Drosophila melanogaster: one gene and its partner. The protein of the gene in region 1 purifies or fractionates together with the protein of each later gene. This does not show direct contact. Each region holds a gene or a part of one and is shown on either strand. Other genes may lie near its edges.

The links.
Region 2: the proteins of SoxN (region 1) and Rtel1 purify together in Drosophila melanogaster (affinity purification with mass spectrometry, with the first as the bait; one large-scale study listed by BioGRID). This does not show direct contact.

Annotation. Positions count from the first base shown.
Region 1 is NT_033779.5:8,823,655-8,830,412, forward strand, and holds SoxN (SoxNeuro), read left to right. Parts: upstream 1-1,990; 5' UTR 1,991-2,839; coding exon 2,840-4,558; coding exon of another isoform or gene 4,559-5,125; 3' UTR 5,126-6,016; downstream 6,017-6,758.
Region 2 is NC_004354.4:5,746,040-5,752,671, forward strand, and holds Rtel1 (regulator of telomere elongation helicase 1), read left to right. Parts: upstream 1-1,707; 5' UTR 1,708-1,829; coding exon 1,830-2,879; intron 2,880-2,954; coding exon 2,955-3,502; intron 3,503-3,697; coding exon 3,698-4,361; intron 4,362-4,422; coding exon 4,423-4,565; intron 4,566-4,809; coding exon 4,810-4,939; intron 4,940-5,024; coding exon 5,025-5,234; intron 5,235-5,302; coding exon 5,303-5,515; 3' UTR 5,516-6,038; downstream 6,039-6,632. UniProt on the Drosophila melanogaster protein: A probable ATP-dependent DNA helicase implicated in DNA repair and the maintenance of genomic stability. Acts as an anti-recombinase to counteract toxic recombination and limit crossover during meiosis.

The DNA of each region.
Region 1 (6,758 bases):
TCTGGTTCTGTTTGGTTTTTCGGGTTTTGGCTTGTTTTCCCATTTTCAGCAAAATACTTTTTGCGGAGCAACAGTCTTCCCATCAAAAGAATCAATGCCTCGTACTTGTACTCGTACTCATACAATAACAAAACAAACAGGCAGGCCAAGTACATTGATAATGAACCGAACAGAATTGTATTTCTTTTTCTGCATTTTGTATTTGAAATTACACAATAGCCCCCATAGAATCAACAACGACTTTGACTTATTCCTTTTCTTTGGCCAACTTTTTGCGGTTAAGATTTGCGTTCTTGTTGTTTTTGATGTTATGATGTTGCGTTGTTGTAGGTCAGTTACTGGGGCAGGTTTTGCATTGTTTGCCGGTCTTGCCTTTATTATTGTGCCCGCTTGCCCCAGTGTTTTCGCTCCATTGTCAAATGTTTAGCAATTGGCCATAAATTCATTAAGCCGACGAGCCCACATATCGGCTTTGTTTGCATTATACATTTTTAATGGGTTAGTAGCTCGATTCAAGTGTTTGATGACTTTGCAGGAAATTTGGAGACGATGCTTAAGGAGTTGTACAAAAGAAATTTTGATTGTGCTTTAAAGGGAGAAAATGTATATATATTATTTATCGAGGAAATGCAGTTTTTCATATAATTTGTATTTTATTTATTCAAGAACAAAAATGGTCTTCTATATTATTCGTAGTTTACGGATGCAAAAGTATGTTTTATTTTAGCCACAATGGTATTTTTTTTATTTAACACACAATTTATAATTAATATAACTTTTAGAAAAGCCCATAAATCTTGGTTTTGCTCTTCGAGTGTGCAAAAAATCTTCAATTAATCGACTTCCACCTGCACTGCAAGTTGGTGAGTAGTTCTCACCAGCTGAGAACTGCAATCCAATCACTTTGCACTGCTAAAAGTCGCACAAAAAAAAAGAGCCCAACATTTACTCATGGGCAACCCAAAAAACGGAATACCAGAGTCAGCTGAGGAAAAACGCATTCATCGCGGGGTGGTAAATTAAAGGGGGGTGTCGTGGTGGGGCAGATGGTGCCCTAAGACAATGCCGTAGGACGGGCTGGCTCATGTGGCGGATACGTGATACGTGTAAGCCAAACCGCATCAAAGTTCTGAGATACAACTGCCGACTACCGCGAGAGCAGGATACATTTGCAGCTGCACTTGCTTAATAAATTTTTCCATCTGCCGACTGCCTGCCTACACAATTATTCGTGAGCTACCTTGGCAAACCCATTAGGTTAATAAGAAGCGCAGCGTAAGACGCAGAGTGACTATACATACATATATATATATATATATCTATATTATATATCTTTTTGTATGTACATATAGCAGGGCCAAAAAAAAAAATAAAAAAGGAAACCAGGAAAAACTATGCGCGTGAGACGCGCTCTAACGGCGAAAACGCCGCAAACACTAAGGCCCCTGGGTCCCTGGATCCCTGGACTGGGTTGAGAGTACCCATGGCCCGCTCCAGCTCCCCCCGTCCATAGCGTTTCGGCCATGTTTAAAGCTCGAAATTTATACGAGAAATTCCTTCAGAGTCTCTTTCGGCAGCGGAAAAGCGGCAACAGCGCTTGCCATAAACGCAGAGACGACATTTTTATGGCAGCGTTGAGCGCAACGCGGATCGATATAGTGACGGAACGAGATAAAGATACATTCGTACCGCTCTCACCGTCCTCTGATTGGCGGAGCAGTGTGCGCAAAATCCAACCCAGCCAGCGCTCACCGCACACAGATGCACACATGCACAGCAGCGAGTTTATTTGATTTATTAGCAGGCCAGCCACTCGTATATTCATCTCGCTCCCGCACAGGCGACGGGCAATGGAAATGCCGACGCACACTTGGACAGCAGCGACGCACACACAGCTACTCGCGACTCAAGACCAGTTTTTCCAGCCACCCTGTCTGGCGGACCGCACCGCATTTACCGCCTCCTCGAGCGGCCAGCGGCAGACGGTCTCTCATTCGACTCTCGCATTCGCCGTCGTCAGCACACGCGCACGCAACGTACCGCACGGCAGTCGCAGCACGCCATCAGCAGCAACATCACGCAGCAACATCAACTCGGTTGTTCGCTGTCTCGAATTCGGTTTCGTGTCGTATCGTATCCGTATCGTTTCGCATCGCATCGCATCGGTGGTTCTGGTTCGTGCCTCGTCATCAGCTAGCCAAAAAGCGGTGATACGAAAGAAAGAAAAAAAAGTCATCATACAGCCAGGGAAAAAGCAGCGTAGAACGCACCTCGAACAGGTTTCGCCGTCGTCCGGAGAAACAGAAAGGTGCTCAATTCCGCCCAGTGTGGAGGTATTTTTTCGGTGTTCCCGCTTCTCGCATACGAAAAAAAAAAACAACAACCAAACCAAACCAAATATATTTACAACAAAATCTAATACAAACAACAACAATATTCTGAGGCAATTTCGCGTCGGGTTTTAGCAACAATTTTCAAGTGTTTTACGCCGCCTCTTGTTTGTTTGCTAGCAAACAACATATATGTATATCTGATATTTGTGACTGTGGAAAAAACGCAATTCAAGCTGTTTAGCTACAAATCCAAAGATAGCCGAGCGCCACATTTTTGATACGCGTAAAGATACGAAAAACTACGAAATAAAAACTGCAGCGAAAATCAAAATCTCAAAAATCACAAGTGCAACATGGTTTCCCAAAAAATGTTCAAAATGTCTAACTAAGCAAAGAGTAAACTAAAGCTAAAGAGTAACTGCATCTTAGAGGCGAGTATCCACGGAGAACCAACTTTGAGTCAAATCAGCTTTATCGCACCGAAAACTGGAAGTAATCCCCGCAAGATGCTGACCATGGAATCGGATATGAAAGGCAGCCTGCTGCATGCCACCATGCCGCCGCATCACACAAGTGCCGCGTTGCACGGACATGCGGCATCGCCGTACTCCGCCCTAGCTCCCCTTATGAACCTGGGCCAGTCGCACCTGACCCACTCGCAGCTGAGCCATCACAACCACCATCATCACCACATGAGCGCCCATATCGCGGCCAGCCAGAGTCCCAATCCGCTGAGCTCGCTGCAGTCCTCGATGGCGAACACCCTCAATGGCAGCCAGGTGGGGCAGCAGCAGCAGCAACAGCAGCAGCAGCAGAGCTCCCCGCTGCACAGCTCCAGCGAATTGAGTCCCACCCAGAGCAGCATCGGAAGCCATCACATGACATCGCCGGTCAGCCACCAGCAGCACACGCAACAGCAGCAGCACGGGCAGCAGCAGCATCTGGGCGCGGGATCTGCATTGAGCAGCCTAACTGGAGGATCCAGCAACAACAACAACAACAGCGCCACGGCCAACAAGAACCAACAGCACGCGGATCGTGTGAAGCGGCCTATGAATGCGTTCATGGTTTGGTCACGGGGCCAGCGGAGGAAGATGGCCTCGGACAACCCCAAGATGCACAACTCGGAGATCTCGAAGCGACTGGGCGCCCAGTGGAAGGACCTCTCGGAATCGGAGAAGCGACCGTTCATCGACGAGGCCAAGCGCCTGAGGGCGGTGCACATGAAGGAGCATCCGGACTACAAGTACCGGCCGCGCCGCAAGACTAAAACGCTGACCAAGACCAAGGAGAAGTACCCAATGGGCGGCCTGATGCCCGGACAGACGGTGGGCGGCGGAGCACCGGGTGAGCCGGTGACGCCCACGCGGGTGCAAGGTCAGCCTGGCCAGAACCAGTCGCTAAACGGTAGTGGAGGCAGTGCAGCAGCGGCAGCGGCGGCGGCAGCAGCGGCAGCGCAACAGGCGCGCCAGGATATGTACCAGATGAACGCGCCCAATGGATACATGCCCAATGGCTACATGATGCACGCAGATCCGGCCGGAGCGGCAGCCTATCAGACCTCCTACATGGGCCAGCACTACGCGGCGCAGCGGTACGACATGGGACACATGTACAACAACGGGTATGCGATGTACCAGACGGTGTCCGGCGGACAGACATCGCCGTACGGCAGCAGTCTCCAGCAGCCCGGATCACCGTCGCCGTATGGCGGCAGTAGCTTGCAGCAGCAGCCCGGCAGTCCGACTCCGTACGGCGGAGGTGGAGGCGGTGGCGGTCAGGTTTCCTGCCAGAGCCACAGCCCCAGCGACTCGAGCATCAAGTCCGAACCGGTGTCGCCCAGTCCCAGTGCCATAGCGCTCAACAACAACAACAACATCAACAACAATCACATCATGAAGCGGGAATACAGCTCTGCAGCGGCGGCAGCAGCAGCAGCAGCAGCGGCAGCAGCCGCCGGCGGCGGCGAGCTGAATCACCTGATGAATATGTACCATCTGCCGGATGAGCAGCGCCACCTGCTGCACTATCAGACTGACTCGCCCGATCTGCAGCAGCAGCACCAGTCGATGCAACAGCAGCAGCAGCACCTCCCGCAGCAACACCTTTCGCAGCAGCACCAACAGATCCCGCAGCAACACCATACCATGCAGCAGCAGCAGCAGCAACACCACCTGCAGCATCAGCAATCGCTGAGGGCGATGGCGCCGCTGGCACACATGTGAGAAATGGCCAGCGCCTATGGAGCAGCAGGCTCCAGTGTGAGCGTTTCGCCTCCACTGCCGCCGTACATGCCGACGGCCCCGCAGCAACAGCAGCAGCAGCAACAACAGCAGCAACAGTTGCTCAACGGACGGCCTAGTCCGACGGCATCGGGGTCGTCGGGCGGCCGCTCCTCGGCGCATTCCAGTGGCCATACCGCCGCGCATTCACCCGCCTTGGCAGCCGCCTACCAGCTGACCCCCTCCGCTGCCACCTCCTCCGCCACTTCGGCTGCTGCTGCGGCGGCAACTGCTGCTGCCGTTGCTGCTGCTGCGGCTGCAGGCAGCTCCTTTGCCGCCTCGGCCAGCATGCTGGACATGCAACAGCAGCATCTCGAGGAGCAGCAGCAGCACCACCACCTGCACTACCAGCAGCAGCAACAGCAACACTACCAGCAGCAGCAGCAGCAACAGCAGCAGCTGCAGCACCTCCCGCAGCAGCAGCAACACCAGCTGTACCATCACTATCATCCTGGCCACGAGGCAGCGGTGGCTGCCAGTGCTGGCCTCCTGGATATATCCACATTGTAAATTATTGAAAATATTAACTAAAGCCCTAGGATACGCACACCCACGCCCACAACCACAGCCACACACACACAGACACAATTTTAGCCTTAGTTCTTAAGCAGGTTTAATTCGAATTTCGAAGTGGCAGAGTAACACATGCGCATATAAATAAATGAGAATAGGATTAATGTTTAGTCATTTAAATGATGCATACGCACTGTTGTACCACAATAGTAAGATGACAACTCACTTGCATTCCATACCGTTCTGCTTCGATTTCCCTTGATTTCCCGCTTGTTGCATAGCTAAAACAATTGTGTGATACAAATAAACTGTTGCCAATTACGGGGACAACGGCAACAACAACAAATTCGTTTGGTTTAGCATTTCATTTCCACTCACCTTTTGCTGTACAAAACATTCTCAGACATTAAATGTGCGTTCAATTGAAGGGAGCAACGGGACGCGGAATCAAGCACAAGTTTAGTAGGAGTAAAGGCAGTTGTGGCGAGGCGATGAAAATATTTCAGAAAAGCAAAGAAAAATGTCAAAAAACATTCTATTTTATAAATTCTCTTATGCATTAAGTAATTATAATTATTATCTATTATATAAACAATTTAATTATTAATTATGCTTACAAATACCAGACAAGACAACCATAATTAATTGTAATAAAGCGAAAACAAAATTATTATTATTATTAAAACATAAATCGAATCGAAGGCAAGCATCTACTGCATAATACAAACACAACCAGAGAAAATGTTAGTAAACCTAAAGCAAATTTAGTAAAAACAAACCAAGAAGCAGCGTGCAAACGTGATTGTGAAACATGGCGCAAGGCAGCGAAAACAAACAAATCCAACAAAACATTGCCAAGCACCTGGAAATAATAAAAACAAAATCCACAAAAAATCCACGAAAAAAAAACAAATAAAAGAAAAATCTTTACAAAAACATCTCGCTACATTTTTACTATTTGCCGTCGGCAAAATGGGAGGATCCGTGAATTTTGCATACCGAATCGATATGCAGGTTCAGCAATGTGTCAGATGGCTTAAATTCCAGTTTGGATTTTATAGCTCCCCCCATTTTTAAGTGGGATGCGTAATTCCTTAGACAAAAGCGATTAGAGTAGTAAAAATCAAATGAAATTCACGCATTGTCAACATAAATAAAAATGTCATTAAACAAACCCTGACAAATTAGAACAAAACATGAGATGAGATTCCCATAAAAATGGTATGCCATCTACATTTATAAAATCCAGCCATGGCAATTATTTGGGAACTTCATGTGAATCGCATGCTGCAATCTGGCATTTCAATATTTATTTAAGTGCATTTTGTCAATGAGTAACTGCAATTTTCGTGACCGGAAGGCGACGCTTTGTAGCCAACACCGTCCAAACTAATTCCACCGATCATGCATCAAGGTTGAAATACAATTATTAGGAATTTTGATAATGCGATATATATCATATGCCATATTTTCAGAGCCGCTCACCAGACCCAGATTGTCCAATCACTCGGCTGTCGCGACGGTGAATGGGCCTACAAAACCCGATAATATCCACTTAATATGGCTAATTTATGCTGGCCAAACCATCACATCTGGCCCACGCTCTGTGCCAACATTTCAAAGAGCTCAT
Region 2 (6,632 bases), on another chromosome or scaffold:
AATTTTGTCTTAAGTAAAAACAACACAAAATTCGTATTAAACGAGCGGTGTGTGATTTATCGTTGATCTGGCAACCCTGCTCCGACGTGTTGGAATGGTACGGGTGGCTGCGGGGGACGAGTCGGCCTATTGTGTTTGATGGCAATCCACAAAGCTCACACACACGTTTAAACCAAAACGATATAGGGCCGAGCACTTCAAGTAATCGAGTTTTTTCCGTCTAATTAATCTCGGCGCAGCGATGTTTTGGCCAACAAAATGACACGGCTCTTTGTCGGAATTCACTTATGCAGCAGCGGCAGGGTTGTCAGAGCTCGAAAAACGGTGAAGAAATAAACACACTTTTTCTAGTTGTTTCGCATAAATGGGGGGCGGCAAAGGGGTGCAGGGCCTTTGATTGGTGGTCATTTTTCATTTGGATGACCTTAATTTGCATGTGATAATGCTGATTAGTGCAGCCGCGTTATCGGCACGGTAATCGTTATCGCCAGAGTTGCAAGCGCCCGCCCATCGACAGCCCGCCAAAGCTTTCGAATTTGAAAATGTGTGGACATATTTTAAAAGTGCGATTCTAAGGATCGCATGGTTAATATTTTAGATCTAAATTTTCTATCTCAAAAAAAAAAAAAATGGTACAACATTCATACACAACTACACCGGCAGCATCTTCGAGTGAGAGTTTCCGGCCAAAAAAAAAAAAAAAAAGAATAACTAAAACAAAAACGCACTCACAAGAAGAGGAATGTTTCTCCTCCACCCAATACTCGCAATAATTTTCGATTAGCTTCTATATGCCGCGCCACGATTTTTTATTCTGTTATATTTTTACTTTGTGCCAACAGAAATTTATCACCACCGCGCGAGAGAGCGAGAACACACACGCACACACACAGCCAGAGTGCGCTCTCTTTCGCTCTGCCGCCGAGGTGCATAGGCGAGAACGACCGACAGACGCGACTAGCGGTCGGACCGACCGACCGAACGACCGTCGCTATCGCCGTCCCCCTCTCGCTCGTAGGTTTGTATCGGGGAGTTGTTGCTTACACGCACTCGCACACATACTTTTGCACACTGGCGCCTCGTCACTGTTGTTGCATTGCTGTCGTCCACTCCTGCGCTTCTTCTTCTCTTGTTCGACTCGCTTCTCTTCGGATTTTACTTTGCTGCCGAGCAATAACAACACAACACTACCGTTCTCAAAGTTCGAATGATTTGATGCCGTTCTGTGTTTTTTTGGTGTGGCCGAGAAGCGCCAAATCAGTGGGGCCGTATCGCGGCGATTCGGAAAAGCCGAGCGAAGGGGTCACGATAAATGGATTTGTGGTTGAATTAACTGAGTTTGTAATAATTGATGTCAAATATTTACTTACCTTGTTAGGGGATTTATATGTATGCTGCACATTTAATCTTGAATGCCATTAGTTCATTAGTTTGGTATAATCCATAACATTCACTTAAAATGTTATATCGTTAATCTTTGATCCAAATAAACAGAATCACAACTACAGTATTCCCTCCAATGCTAATAAGTTTATAAGTTTCAGTTACTATTATCCATAAGGTACCATAAACACGATTGCAGCACTTTGGGTGGTGATTAGTACTACTATTACGTTTAAAATAAACTACGCAGGGTTTGACATGCAAGTTGTAAACATTTGACTCGGAGTTCAAGATAACGCTATAAAATTACTTAATCAGGGTCCACTGTACTCTATCGATAGCGATAACTGACCACCTACACAGACATTTATTGTTATCGACCAACGAACACATGTTCACTCCGATTTGGCGCGTAAACAAGTAAATAAATAGTATTATTAAGAATAATGCCGGAGAGCCTGATCGCCGGCATTCCGGTGCACTTTCCGTTCGAGCCGTACCCGGTTCAACGGGCGTACATGGAGAAGGTGATCCATTGTCTCCGCGATGGCACGAATGGAGTCCTGGAATCGCCAACCGGCACGGGCAAGACCCTAAGCTTGCTGTGCTCATCCTTGGCCTGGATCCGCACCAGGCAATCGGAGCACCAAAAGCAGATGGTTAAGATGGAGAAGGCAGATTTTTCGGGTCTTGGAGGCGGAGCACCTGGGGGAGACCTGTCCGAGCTGGCCAAGACCATGGGTCGTGCGAATAACTGGGGCGTGCCCAAGGTCATCTACGCCTCGCGCACCCACTCCCAATTGACGCAGGCGATGCGGGAACTCAAGAGGACAGCGTACGCTAACATGAGATCCGTGGTTCTGGGCTCCCGCGATCAGCTATGCATTCATCCGGAGGTCATGCGGGAGCAGGGCAACTCCAACAAGACCAACATGTGCAAGCTACGGGTGCACTCCAAGACCTGTTCATTTCAAATGCGCGTTGAGTCGCGAAAGGATCATCCCGATTTGCGCGGACCCACCATCATGGACATTGAGGACCTGGTCAAGGTGGGCCAGCGACTCAAGATCTGTCCCTACTTCGCGTCTCGGGAGTTGGTTCCCCAGGCGGATATCACCTTCATGCCCTACAATTATCTACTCGATCCCAAGGCTCGCAAGGCCAACAAAATCGAACTGGGCAACACTATTGTGATCCTGGATGAGGCCCACAACATCGAGAAGATCTGCGAGGAGTCCGCTTCGGTGCAGATTAAGTCCTCTGATGTGGCCATGGCCATCGAGGACGTCACGCATATCATGCAAGTCTTTGCGAGCGGCGAGTCGCAGGATATGGCTGGAGATGAGCCAAAGGACTTCACACTGGACGACCTTACACTGCTCAAGGAGATGCTGCTCGAGCTCGAAAAGGCCATCGATGCCATCGTTGTGGACAACGCCGTCGATGGAACTACCTTTCCCGCCTCCATGATGTACGAACTGCTTGGCAAGGCGAATGTAAGATGCACTAAATCTTATCGGAAATGTTTTTAAAAGAATGCCTATTTAAAAATGTAACTTCCTTTATTGTAGTTCACCTACGGCAACGTTGCAACGATAGTATCCCTGCTGGACAAACTGGTGCAATACCTCCTAGTGGCCTCCCAGCAGATGAGCATCCGCAAGGGCGGCACCTTCACGTTGCTTAGCGATCTACTGACCATTGTGTTTGCCAACAAGGAGGATGTGATGAGCAAGGTGTACGCAAGCTTCAAAGTGCATGTCCTGGTGGAGGAGTCCAAGCAGGGACACGGTAAGCAGCAGGGTGCTAAACAGCAGGGCGGTTGGCTTGGCAAGGGAACGATTGCAGCAGCGACTGGCTTAAGCAAGGTCGCAAAAATCATTAACTTCTGGTGCTTCAATCCTGGCTTCGGAATGGAGCAACTGCTCAACACCCAAGTGCGCAGCGTAATCCTGACCAGCGGCACACTAGCTCCCCTCAAGCCGCTAATCGCCGAGCTTGCCATTCCGGTGGCCCAGCATCTGGAGAATCCGCACATCGTCGACCAGTCGCAGGTTTATGTCAAGATCATCGGCACCGGACCCGATCGGCAGCAACTGATATCGAACTATGCGAACCGGTAAGCATTTTTCACACCACAAGCTTATTTGTTTATGGCCAATACCATGAGTAAATAAACAAGTTGGGCCAAACATAACTCAGTTCTGTGGCAGGTGAACTATCTCATAACATTACGAAATGCCAACGTATCAATTTCTTAATGTTATACAAACTAAACAAACATGTTTTATCTGCCACCTTTGTTCTTCTGCAGTGATAATCCAAAGTACATCAGCTCCCTGGGACAGACGATTCTGAATGTAGCGCGTATAGTGCCCGACGGCCTCCTTGTCTTTTTCCCATCGTATCCCATGTTGAACAAGTGCGTGGACGCGTGGCAGGCCAGTGGTTTGTGGGCGGACATATCGTGCAAGAAACCGATTTTTCTGGAGCCGCGCAGCAAGGACCAGTTCACCAGCACGATGGAAGAGTTCTACCAGGCGATACGCGACTCCAAGGGTGCCGTATTCATGGCTGTTTGTCGCGGCAAAGTCTCCGAAGGTCTGGACTTTGCTGATCGCAATGGCCGCGCGGTGATTATTACTGGTCTGCCATTCCCACCGCTAAAGGATCCCAAGGTGATACTGAAACGTCGCTACCTGGAGGCGAATCGGACTCGTGAGAATCAGCTGTTAAGTGGGCAGGAATGGTACAATCTAGATGCCACGAGGGCAGTCAATCAAGCCATCGGTCGTGTGATTCGGCATCGCAACGATTATGGTGCCATTCTGCTTTGCGACTCGCGATTTAAGGACGCCTCACAGGTCCAGCAGCTATCCAAATGGATTCGGGGTCACCTGGGCGACCGGCCACAGTGCTCACCCTTTGGTCCTATCGTCCGGGAACTGCGTCAGTTCTTTAAGAACGCCGAAGCGAATGTAAGCTCATGATGTTTATGCGTTTTTCAGCAATTGTAATACAATTCTTTCAAAACTTCAGATGAAACTACCGGATGAAAGGGAAACCGATTCGCCTTTGGAAACCGTCTGCAAGACAGAGGATGAACCACTAGCCGCCATTCCAAAAGTGAAACGGGAGCCTGGCTCCAATGCCACCTTCAAATCAGCCAATGAATCCGCAATGTACGTAACCTGCGATCTAAGATCAACCTTATCAGCTGTATAGATTGTATTACAATTATTAATAGCAAATCCTTAATCGGATTTAAGTAGTCTTGAGTACAATTTTTGAGATTTGTCATAGCTAAAGTGAAATGCTGTAAGCCATTTCCAGTGGCCTTTTGTCATCACTGCCAGGGTAAATAAACTTTCGTTTGCCTTTCTCCTGGTATTGACACTTTGAAATATTTATTATTTTTCTTTGTAGCAAAGTGGAGATGGCCAATTCCATCAAGACATGGACACCCGCCGATTATGCGAGTGCCGCTGGACATAAATTGGGTGGTGCGGCGCCGAATGCCATGGACTTTATGAGTCGACTGGACTCAAATGTCTCGGTAAACACGAGATTCCCATGAATCTATTATTACACTGTGTTTATTTAGTTCTTTAGGACTTGTTCTTGTTTTGCCCCTTTCCCAGAGTATCGATTTCAACTGCTGCACAGATAGTAAAAGTGGCTCCTCTGGTCTGGTGAAGATTCACAAGCGGGAGCGAAGCTCACCAACGGCGCCGGAATCCTCCAGCCAGGTGACCAAAAAGCGATACAAGTTGGTGGAGAACATCAAGGTGGAGCCAAGTAGTTCGCAGGCTAAGGAGGCACCCGAGGAAAGGGCCGCGTTTCTCCGGGAGGTGAGATACCTTCGAGACTTCTTCCATACTACTACTACTACTACTAATTAATTTACCTTGAATTGCAGCTACGCAGCCTGGTCACCCAAGATCAATTCCGCCGCTTTGGCAAGGCGCTGCTGGAGTACAAGAATGGCACCTATGAGAGCTTTCAGGCCCTGATGGCCATACTCCTGGATGTCCTGTCCGCACCCAAAGTGCGCTACATGCTCGTCGGGATGCGGAAGTATCTAAAGAACGAGCACAAGGACGAGTTTGATCGTAGGGTGGGCAATCTTTAACAAAGGGTTAGGTGACTATGTAAAAGAGTTTTCAAGTTTAGTCGTCCCAAGGATATGTTATTTTTTTTTTTTCAAATTTATTGACATTGGCTGTAATTTTCTGATTGTATTTAGTGGGGCGCGTCTAATTCTCCTAAGAATATATATTATTAACAATGCTATGCATTGTTGTACATGCATTTTGAATTTCTCTGTACGGATGTTTATTACTATTAAAAATTATACGTTAATCATGATATTGTTTATAGCTTTGTGGGAAAATGTGGGGTCATATTAAATGCAAATGCAGTTACTCAAAACCGTTTGCATTATGTGCATTATGTTTTCCCAATCTGTTTATTTATTTACCGCTCAAGGTTGACTTAAATCAACAGTCTACCTTTATTGGAAATTTAATACCACTTTTATGTGCATCAAACTTCGATTTCGTTTGCTGATAAGCTGATGAGCTTTAATAAGCTTTCAATCAAATCAAAGGCGAATAGAACAGGGTGCTCGAAAACTCTTCAAATCTTACATATCGTATTTAAATATGAACTCAATTTGTATAATAATATATATATATGTACAATATATGTTTATTTTATATATTTTTAAGCATGATAAATAGATAAGATATCATAGGAAATTGACTAATGCTAAGACTTTTAAGTTCTTGTCTTAAAAACATAAAATTACTTTTTTGTAGACTGCTTACATATATGTTTTTCACATTTATTTTTTAATCTACCGCTTGGGGGGCATACATTTTAGAGTTGGCAGCCCGCTTGGTAACAAATCTGCGAACCGCAGCCAGCGCAGAACGCATCCAATAAGTTCATTGCCAAACGGGCCGAGTCCCTATATGCACATCCACACATGCCCATCGGCTGGCGCGACCGAGTCACCGAGAAAACTGAGCCCGAGTGCAACGAGAATGCGGGTCCGAGTGGCTCCGACTTCGGACTTGGGAAGGCACTCGCGTGGCAACAATCGTCCAGGGCGCACGGCAAACACGCAGAGCTGCCGGAGGAGATAGGCCGCTGCTTCTTGGGGGCCACATTCGTACCCCGATCCAAATCCAGACCCGCTGATCCATCCGCCTCATAAATACACACATAATTTCTGCCGCTTTGAT